Linked DNA regions of Macaca mulatta. The protein of the gene in region 1 interacts with the protein of each later gene in a pairwise test. Links are inferred from orthologs where the notes say so. Each region holds a gene or a part of one and is shown in the gene's direction. Other genes may lie near its edges.

Evidence for each region.
Region 2: the proteins of ACY3 (region 1) and PLEKHF2 interact in binary tests that used the Homo sapiens proteins (3 or more experiments, as listed by UniProt). The two-hybrid records come from large-scale screens. The link is inferred for Macaca mulatta from reciprocal best matches to the Homo sapiens genes ACY3 and PLEKHF2.
Region 3: the proteins of ACY3 (region 1) and PMM2 interact in binary tests that used the Homo sapiens proteins (3 or more experiments, as listed by UniProt). The two-hybrid records come from large-scale screens. The link is inferred for Macaca mulatta from reciprocal best matches to the Homo sapiens genes ACY3 and PMM2.

Annotation. Positions count from the first base shown.
Region 1 is NC_133419.1:6,738,208-6,741,076, forward strand, and holds the end of ACY3 (N-acyl-aromatic-L-amino acid amidohydrolase (carboxylate-forming)), read left to right. Parts: intron 1-74; coding exon 75-184; intron 185-1,987; coding exon 1,988-2,203; 3' UTR 2,204-2,369; downstream 2,370-2,869. UniProt on the Homo sapiens protein: Plays an important role in deacetylating mercapturic acids in kidney proximal tubules. Also acts on N-acetyl-aromatic amino acids.
Region 2 is NC_133413.1:105,549,963-105,553,462, forward strand, and holds the end of PLEKHF2 (pleckstrin homology domain-containing family F member 2), read left to right. Parts: intron 1-367; 5' UTR 368-381; coding exon 382-1,131; 3' UTR 1,132-3,029; downstream 3,030-3,500. UniProt on the Homo sapiens protein: May play a role in early endosome fusion upstream of RAB5, hence regulating receptor trafficking and fluid-phase transport. Enhances cellular sensitivity to TNF-induced apoptosis.
Region 3 is NC_133425.1:10,037,952-10,041,451, forward strand, and holds part of PMM2 (phosphomannomutase 2), read left to right. Parts: intron 1-554; coding exon 555-654; intron 655-1,112; coding exon 1,113-1,188; intron 1,189-2,455; coding exon 2,456-2,571; intron 2,572-3,500. UniProt on the Homo sapiens protein: Involved in the synthesis of the GDP-mannose and dolichol-phosphate-mannose required for a number of critical mannosyl transfer reactions.

The DNA of each region.
Region 1 (2,869 bases):
AGGTTCCCCCACAGCCCACTCCGTCCCCTAGCCTGGAGAGAGGGATGAGCTCACAAGCCCAGCCTCCCACACAGGTACGGCCTTTCCCGCCTTTGAGATGGAAGCCTATAGACCCGTGGGCGTCATGGACTTCCCTCGCACTGATGCCGGGAACCTGGCAGGCACTGTGCATCCTCAGCTGCAGGTGGGTGTGTGTGTGGTGGGGGGGTGATTGCTGGGGCCACAGCCTTGGGGAGGAGGGTTGTCAAGGAAAACTGAGCCCCAGAGGGTGCAGCCAAGCCTCCCATGAGCTCACCAGCATCTCAGGTTGAGGAGCAGGATGGGAGGCTGGGCTCCACCGTCCCACTTCCCCTGGCCCCGCTGCCTTCCCTGGAACCCCACACTCAGGCCTAACACAAGAGGCCACAGTGATCCCCATAGCTCCTGTGGAGGGCATGATGGAGACAACCTTACCCTGGCCATAAAAGGCAGAGGGAGGGGACATGGAGCAGGCATGACTCAATTCACCTGCTTGGAGGTACAAATACAAAACTGTCTTCTGATTTTCAGTTGAGAGCATCCCCATGCCTGTTGGCAGGTCGTCCAAGTCTCTCTCTCTGCAGGCCTTCCCTTCTGGAATGTTCCAGGATTGGGCAATCCTGCTTTCACACCTTTCTCTTGGGTGCCTGGGGAGAACCCACTGGCTGCTGCTCTGCTTGCTGCCACACGGGTCATTTTTGAATAGGGTCTGGTGCAGTTTTGTGGCCTTTTGTGCCCTGAAGTTTCATTTTGAGGAGTTACTTTCTTACAAATGGAGGCAGCACCGTCCTGTCCGTGTTTAGGGCTAGGCAGTCTTAGTTCAGCCGTGCCCAGCTACCTTGCAGATGTTAAGTAGTAACGGTCAATTTGGGTGGCCCCTCCTACAATTCTAAAATTTATTTTATTTATTATTTATTATTATTATTTTTTGAGACAGAATCTTGCTTCATCGCCCAGGCTGGAGTGCAGTGGTGCAATCTTAACTCACTGTGACCTCTGCCTCCCGAGTTCAAGCAGTTCTCCTGCCTTAGCCTCCTGAGTAGCTGGGATTACAGGCACTCGCCACGACACCCAGCTAATTTTTGTATTTTTAGTACAGACAGGGTTTCACCATGTTGGCCAGGCTGGTCTCGAACTCCTGACCTCAAGTGATCTGCCCGTCTCGGCCTCCCAAAGTGCTGAGATTACAGGCATGAGCCATTGTGCCCGGCCTTAAAATTTATTTATTTATTTGAGACAGAGCCTTGCTCTGTTGCCCAGGCTGGAGTGCAGTTGCATAATATTGGCTCACCATAACCTCCGCCTCCCAAGTTCAAGCGATTCTCCTGCCTCAGCCTCCCGAGTAGCTAGGATTACAGGCGCCCACCACCACACCTAGCTAATTTTTGTATTTTCAGTAGAGATGAAGTTTCACCATGTTGGCCAGGCTGGTCTTGAACTCCTGACCTTATGATCCACCAGCCTTGGCCTCCCAAAGTGCTGGGATTACAAGCGTGAGCCACTGTGCCCAGCCAAATTTTATTTAATAAAGAATCATATTGTACTTACTGTGTGCCAGACATGCTGTAAGCACTATTAGCCTGTTTAGTTTAAACTTCAGAATGATAGGAGGAGATACTGTAATCCTTATTTTACAGACAAGAAAGCTGAGGAACAGAGGTTAAGTGACTTGCTCACAGTCACACCGTTAGCAAGGATTTGAACTCCAGCTTCAATACCTGTGCCCATGTCCATGAGGGTCCACTTCCACATGGGCACATGCCTCCCCACGGTGACTTGTGCCTTCATTTCTAGACACAGAGCAGACTGGCATCTCACCAGACCTGCTGTCTCACGGATTGAGGAAGTGAAGCATGGGTGGGAAAGGCCACAAATGAGGGGCATCTTTTGGGTGCCAAGCTGGGGTCACCTCCCTCTGGGGCCAGGGCAGAGGTGGCTCCAGCAATCTTGGACTTGGCTCTCCTCCCAGGACCGAGACTTCCAGCCGCTGCAGCCCGGTGCTCCCATCTTCCAAATGTTCAGTGGGGAGGACCTGCTCTATGATGGGGAGTCCACGGTGTACCCCGTGTTCATTAATGAGGCTGCCTACTATGAGAAGGGCATTGCCTTTGTCCAGACTGAGAAGTTCACATTCACCGTGCCTGCCATGCCTGTGCTGAACCCTGCCCCGAGCCCAGCTTCCTAACCCAAGCCACACCTCCCCAACTTCAGTCTTCCCATCTGAACAATGGGTCCTGAGGCATAGCTCTGAGCACAGAGGTCCCTTTTGCCACCTACCATGTACCATGTTCCTTGCCAGGCCCCCCAGCCCCTGGCCTCAGTTTCCCATTCTATAAAATGGAAGATGTCCAGAGGTCCATGGTTTGTGTCCTCTGTCCTGCACAGCTCCTGTCTGGCTGGCACAGTGGATGGAGGAAGGGAGGTTGACCACAGGATCTGGGGGAGGTCTGGCCAGTGCAGCCTTGGATGCACAAGTGTCTTGGGGCCAGTGGTGGCTGCCTCTGTGCCCACAACTGTCCATCCATGCCCAGAGGAGGATCCCAGAGTGTAGGAGGAGAACCTGGAGAAGAATTTTGCTCTGGATCCAGCAGAGGGGCTTTCGGAGGAAGCCACAACCCAGAGGGGGACCCCCCAACCCTCCTACAGTCCTGGGGCCAGAGGGTGAGTGTGGGGAGTGCAGAGCCGGGCCCATGTCTGTGCACACGTGTGTGTTTGTCCATGCATAGCGCCTGCCCCGTGTGCTCTTTGGCGTGCGTGTCTGTGCGTTTCCCACACACACGTGTTTCCAAGAGCCTCAGTTGCTTGGGCGTTCTAAGGGGATCTCTATGTGGCCAGATGTGCATTTCCAAGT
Region 2 (3,500 bases), on another chromosome or scaffold:
AATATTTTGTTCTCTATTGTTCAGAATCCCATTGAGATTACATTTCATTGAACATTATTTTGCAGAGATAAGTTATGTTAATTATTCAATCATCTTTCAATTATGTCTGTAGGAAGTTTATACTTTTACAAATACCTGCTTAACTAGTGTGGTGCTACATGGAGATGACAAATAAGTGTTTTTGATGATTTTAAAAATTGAGAAATGTTAGCCCTTTTGATGTGCTTAGTGATTATCTTAGAGGGAAAGAATTTTAGAACATTTTGCCTTTGTGTAGAAGCAATGATTTGTTAGCTTAAATTTATATATAATTATAGGAATTTATAATTTATATGTGCTAATTTCTTTTTCTTTTTTTTTTTTAAAGGCTATTAGTGAAAGATGGTGGATCGCTTGGCAAACAGTGAAGCAAATACTAGACGTATAAGCATAGTGGAAAACTGTTTCGGAGCAGCTGGTCAACCTTTAACTATACCTGGACGAGTTCTTATTGGAGAAGGAGTATTGACTAAGTTGTGCAGAAAAAAACCCAAAGCAAGGCAGTTTTTCTTATTTAATGATATTCTTGTATATGGCAATATTGTCATCCAGAAGAAAAAATATAACAAACAACATATTATTCCCCTGGAAAATGTCACTATTGATTCCATCAAAGATGAGGGAGACTTAAGGAATGGATGGCTAATCAAGACACCAACTAAATCTTTTGCAGTTTATGCTGCCACTGCTACGGAGAAATCAGAATGGATGAATCACATAAATAAATGTGTTACTGATTTACTCTCCAAAAGTGGGAAGACACCCAGTAATGAACATGCTGCTGTCTGGGTTCCTGACTCTGAGGCAACTGTATGTATGCGTTGTCAGAAAGCAAAGTTCACACCTGTTAATCGTCGCCACCATTGCCGCAAATGTGGTTTTGTTGTCTGTGGGCCCTGCTCTGAAAAGAGATTTCTTCTTCCCAGCCAGTCCTCTAAGCCTGTGCGGATTTGTGACTTCTGCTATGACCTGCTTTCTACTGGGGACATGGCCACATGCCAACCTGCTAGATCAGACTCTTATAGTCAGTCATTGAAGTCTCCTTTAAATGATATGTCTGATGATGATGATGATGATGACAGCAGTGACTAAGGACACATTTGGGAGTATTTAATCAGGTGTGGCTATCTGAGAAATCAGCTTTGGGGGAAATGTAAGATTCTGGGCTCTCTGTTTTGTTCTAGCCATGAATTTGCCTGAGAAACTTGTAACCTATGTGCCTCAATATATTCCATAGAAAGTAGGTCCCCTGCCTTCTCCCACTCCTCGCACTCTTCTACAGGGATAGACTTTTGCGAATATATCAGATACATTTTTTATTTCTTATTCTTGTTTATTTTTAGGTTATTTTCTCGGAAGGTTGGGAAAAGATGTTTGTTGAACAGATCATGTACTACTGTGTTGTTTTCATTTCTGTTACAGGTAAAACTAAAAGCACAGAATGGTGGGAAAGGGGTTATAATGTGGTTCATTAATATGTTAGTAGCTTTTTTCTAACCATCGTGTCTAATGGTTAAAACACCAGTAACAAAAACACATGATTTGGAAATACTTTGTTTGGCTTTTTCATATACCTAGTGGTGCCTTATCATAATAGCACTGTTACATGAAATAAGCCCCCTACCTTCTTACTTTCTGGTTTTCGAAAAAATACACTGGTGCTCTTTGAAGTGATAAAGTGAGTGTTTATGAATGGGTGTAATTAGGAAATACTTCTCATCCGACAGCTACAAATAACTAAGTTTGGAGGTATTTTCACTCTATATGAATAAATATTTTTCCATAAAATAGTTGTGATTATATATTTGTTTTACATAGGTCCCAAATTATAATTGTCAAATATATATTTTAAATTAATAATAGGTTGTCATTCTTAGGAATTTGGTTTGAAATTTATCAGTTACATAGAATTATACTGCATTAGCTTCCACCTTTAGTAAGACATATTTTTAGATATAAATTCATCTGCTTTAACATTATTTCTGGATTGAAAATCTTATAAAACCCTTGAAAATAAACAATCTCTTTTTTACAAAGCCTGTGTTAGAGCACAGGTTTACCTAGGCTTGAAGATTTGGAAGAAATAATGTGTAAGGATGGTCTCAAGGCAGACCACTTTAAGTCTGGCTAGACTTCATATCGTGGAAGTATTATCTATTTCAGTGTGAAACTATCTTGAATTTGCAAATATAGTGTTATATTTTATAAAGTTTTGTAAAATCCCAAACAATATTTCTATTTTTGTAAAACAATTGTATGTGTAATCTGTATCTGAAATCAGTTTGCAATCTATGGAAATAGAGTAGCAATTGCTATTTCTAAATTGTGAACTGAAAGTCAATCTAGATTTATTTGAGAAGTAATTGCTCACTCTTTACTTTTGAGGCAGCCATTAGGTTGAAAGTATATATTTATCATATAAAACTTGATGTGTTTTGCACTACTCTCTCCATTTATATGCTGCAAACAGCTACAGTCTTTGAAATATGGAAAATCAGCAGTCTAAAGTTTGTTTTAAATTCTAAATAAAAAAAAATCTTCAAATCTGAATATACTGCAAATGTCATGAGAAGTTTGATTCAGTAATTTGTGATGGAGGATTCTTTGGTATCTTACTGTTTAGTTAGGGCACTAATTTTACTTACCTATTAGATTTTGAAAGCATCTGAGATATACAAATCTCCCTGTAGGAAATGTGAAAGAAAAGCACAACAAAACTAGGGTTTTCTGTTCGTTTGCTTGCTTTTATGGTTTTTTTTTTTTGGTTTGTTTTAATATCAGGTGGATTTTTGTTTGTAAGCAATATATACATATAATCAACCAACATATCTGAAAAGGATCATGAAACCTGAGAAATGCTAATGGAGACTTGCTGGTACATAGGAATCTAGCAAATTCAGGAACCAAGGGGAAATGTTCTGAGATAACATTTACATTGTCAACCTTTATTGACTTTGTTTTTACAATAAAAAATATTTTACAACTTACTTTCTGTTCTCCGTATATTGTGACTTGAGGATTTCCCCCCTTTGCTAAGATAATAAACATATTATGCATATTTTGCCTAATAATTCAACAGCTGTGAGTTCCTGCTGTGTGCCAGGCATTGTTCTAGGCAGTAGGTTAGAGCAGTGAACAAAACTCCCCTTTGGATTTACTGCATGAAGGCTCAGAAAACAAACATTCTTCCAAATGCTGAAGATATGGCTTAATGTTATGGGGAAGTGCCTTAATATAATTTGGCTTTGCTGTCTAATTACTGTTAGAAGGAATGACTTGACCTGAATTGACATGTCTCAGAAGGAAACAGACACGTGGCTGACAGGTATGTGAAGAAATGTCCAAGATCACTAATCATCAGGGAAATGCAAATTAAAACCACAATGAGATAATAATACCTGACACCTGTTGAATGGCTGTTATCAAAAAGTTGAAAGAAGCGTTGGCAAGGAGATGCAGAA
Region 3 (3,500 bases), on another chromosome or scaffold:
TTGAAAGAATGAAAAGGAAAAGGTGAGATGCCTGATATATCTAAAATATGACCCTTTTTTTTTTTTTTTTTTTGAGACAGGGTCTCACTCTGTCACCCAGACTGGAGTGCAGTGATGTGATCTCAGCTCACTACAACCCCTACCTCCCAGGCTCATGGAATCCTCCTGCCTCAGCCTCCTGAGTAGCGGGATTATAGGCACGCATCACCATGCCTGGCTGATTTTTGTATTTTTTGTAGAGACAGAGTTTCGCCGTGTCATCCAGGCTCAAAATATGACCATTTTGACACAAAGTCAGTATACAACATGACTGATGTGACTCCATTCCTTTTTCATACTAAGTCTTTCAAATCTAATCTCAATTCATGTTAGCCACATTTCAGGTCTCATTAGTCACAGTAGTTCATGGCTACCGTATTACACAGCACAGAGCTGAGAAACATTGACCACACTGGCCTCTGCTTTTTAGAATTTCCCAAGATTTTAGGCTGTTTATGATGTTTCCCAAATAAATAATGTGTTTTGGGGAACCTCTGTCACTCTTTCATTCCCAGGGGTACTTTCATTGAATTCCGGAATGGGATGTTAAACGTGTCGCCAATTGGAAGAAGCTGCAGCCAAGAAGAACGCATTGAGTTCTATGAACTCGATAAAGTAAGTCTTTCTGAAATATCTTTGGTGAATGGCTGGGTTTATGGAAATAAGATATGGCCCCGTGTGGTGGTTCATGCCTGTAATCCTAACACTTTGGGAGGCCAAGGCAGGAGGATCACTTGAGCCCAGGAGTTCAAGACCAGCCTGGGCAACATAGTGAGACCTCATCTCTACAAATAATAAAAAAAAAAAATTAGCCGGGCATGGTGGCACACACCTGTGGTTCCGGCTATTTGTTTGGCTGAGGTGAGAGGATCACTCGAGCCTGGGAGGTTGAAGCTGCTGTGAGCTGTGATCATGCCACTGCACTCCAGCCTGGGCAACAGAGTGAGACCCCCATCTCAAAAACTAAACAAATAAATAAATAAGATATTCATACCTTGGTGGCTAGTAGTTAAAAGTGTGCTTTCTAAACTGCAATACAAGAGACAATTGGCATCTTTTTTTTTTTTTCTCAGAAGGAAAATATAAGACAAAAGTTTGTAGCAGATCTACGGAAAGAGTTTGCAGGAAAAGGCCTCACGTTTTCCATAGGTATTGTATATATTGTTTGTGTTACAAACTTGGATCCCCATTTCCTGGAATTTGTTGTGGGCCAGTGAGCTATTGATAATGGAGTATGTGCAGTTTTAGGTGGGCAGGAAGATTAAATGAGCAGTCCAGTCTGTAGACAAAAAGCGGCCACTCTCTTTTCTGCATAGTTAGCCATAATAGGACTTGCCTAGTCAAGAAACAGCTTCCAGACTGTTGGGCTTGCTTCTAAATTCTTACACAACAGGATTCTTCCTACCTGCACTTCTCTCGTCAGAAGAGGAGCACTTCAATTACTAATGAGTAGGAACTTCTCACACCTTTGGGCGGAAGAGAAGCGCTATAGTGAACTCCGTAAGGGAGACATGGAATTGAACCCCTTAGGTAAACGAGACCGACGTCTTGGAATCATACAATGTTTCAACAGCGGGAACCTTAGGAGCCAATTGGGTGGCTTTTACAGATTAAGAAACTGAGGCCCAAAAAGGAGAAGAGACTTGTCCGAGTTCACAAAGCTGTTGTTTACACAGCCAGTGTGTGAACACTTCTGGTGTCCAATGCAGAGTTCTTCCTGCAGCATGGATGTCTCCGGCTTGTCTTTTGTTAGAGTATGCCTGTCAAATGCTTTGCACACCGATTTCTCTTGTCAGGGCTAATGAGTCATTGCTCAAAGCCTCCTCATTGTACTAGCTTTCATAAAGGTAGAGGTTGTAGGAAAACTGGAATGGCAAAGGGATTATATTTAACAGATGAGTGGGTGGGTTTTTTGTATTCCTGAACTGTGAGATGGACATCTTTCTGACAAAGCTTTGAAAGGTTTCTTGTTGCCCACGAGCGCTGCCTATAAATCACCTTCAGTGAGGATTCTCATTTTTCCTGCAAATATGCTGGATGCGGCCTGCTTCCAGGCATTTTCCACTGAGGGTGTGTTAAAGCCCGAGACGAGCACAGCAGAATGAGTTTTCATAAGCATGCTTCCTTTAAACCACATGCTTGACAGGGCGCTTAAATGCAAATGCATTTCTCACTCTGAGTTGGCATTCTGTGCCTCAATTTTAGACCTACGTGAAATAATGCTGGAACAGAAAACATGATGTAGAATTAATTTCTAGAACCTATCCATGCAATAGTCTAAGTAGCAAACTAGAGTACTGAAAATCAACCTTGGCACCCCACTAACTGACAAAGAGTAAATTGTTTTTTTTTCAGTGACATATCATTAGCCCCTTTTTCACCTTTTGCTTGTATGTGCCCCATCCCCACCCGGCAGGAGGCCAGATCAGCTTTGATGTCTTTCCTGATGGATGGGACAAGAGGTATTGCCTGCGACATGTGGAAAATGACGGTTATAAGACCATTTATTTCTTTGGAGACAAAACCATGCCAGTAAGTAGAGAAGTGTTTGTGCAGCTTCATTGTTGCGTTTGAGCTTGAGGGGGAGAATTGACAACGGGGCTGTTTTTCCTGTATCTACACTTTACCCACAGGCCCTGCTCAAACTGAGCAGTGGCTTCTGTCCTGGAGAGGGGCGTGATTGAGCCTCCTTCCCCTCTGAGCTCAAACCCGCGACACCTCTGTAGAGGCGAGGATCACACTGCGTGTTAGTTGATCCTTTTCAGTTTGGCTTTGGAATTAAACGTTGGCCACCCCATGTGCCTTCCAGAACGCCAGTCCCCAGTGCCACTGTCAAGCCCTGTGCGTTTCAAAGCTCTGCCTGTTTCAATCTTACCTTTCCACTGTATTTGTCCCCCTGAGGCATTCATTCTAAGTTGAACACGAGGGGTCATGTTTGATGGGAGGACAGGGAATGATCTCATGAGCCTGAAACTCAGGAAAGGGCACCAGCGACGGTGAAGAGGCCAAGTGAGTCCCAGGCATCACACATGGTGGGTACTTGGAGCTGCCCCGAAGGGATGTCAGAAATCTCAAGTCCAGGACCACCAAATCTAAACTGAGAACTGAGAGCAGAGCCCGTGTTACAGGCCAGGGCCAGCAGGAGGAATACACAGAAGAATTGTCCCCAGGCGTCCTCCACCCAGCTTTGGGCCAGCTCCTTTTCTTTCTCCTCTTTATTTTTATTTTTATTTTTTTGAGACCAAGTCTCGCTCTGTTGCCCAGCCTGGAGTGCAGTGGTGCAATCTTGGCTCACCGCAACCTCTGCCTCCCAGGTTCAAGCAATCCTTGTGCCTCAGCCTCCTGAGTAGCTGATATTATGGGCATGCGCCACCATGCCCAGCTAATTTTTGTATTTTTAGTAGAGATGGGGTTTCACCACATTGGCCAGGCTGGTCTCAAACTTCTGGGCTCAAGTGATC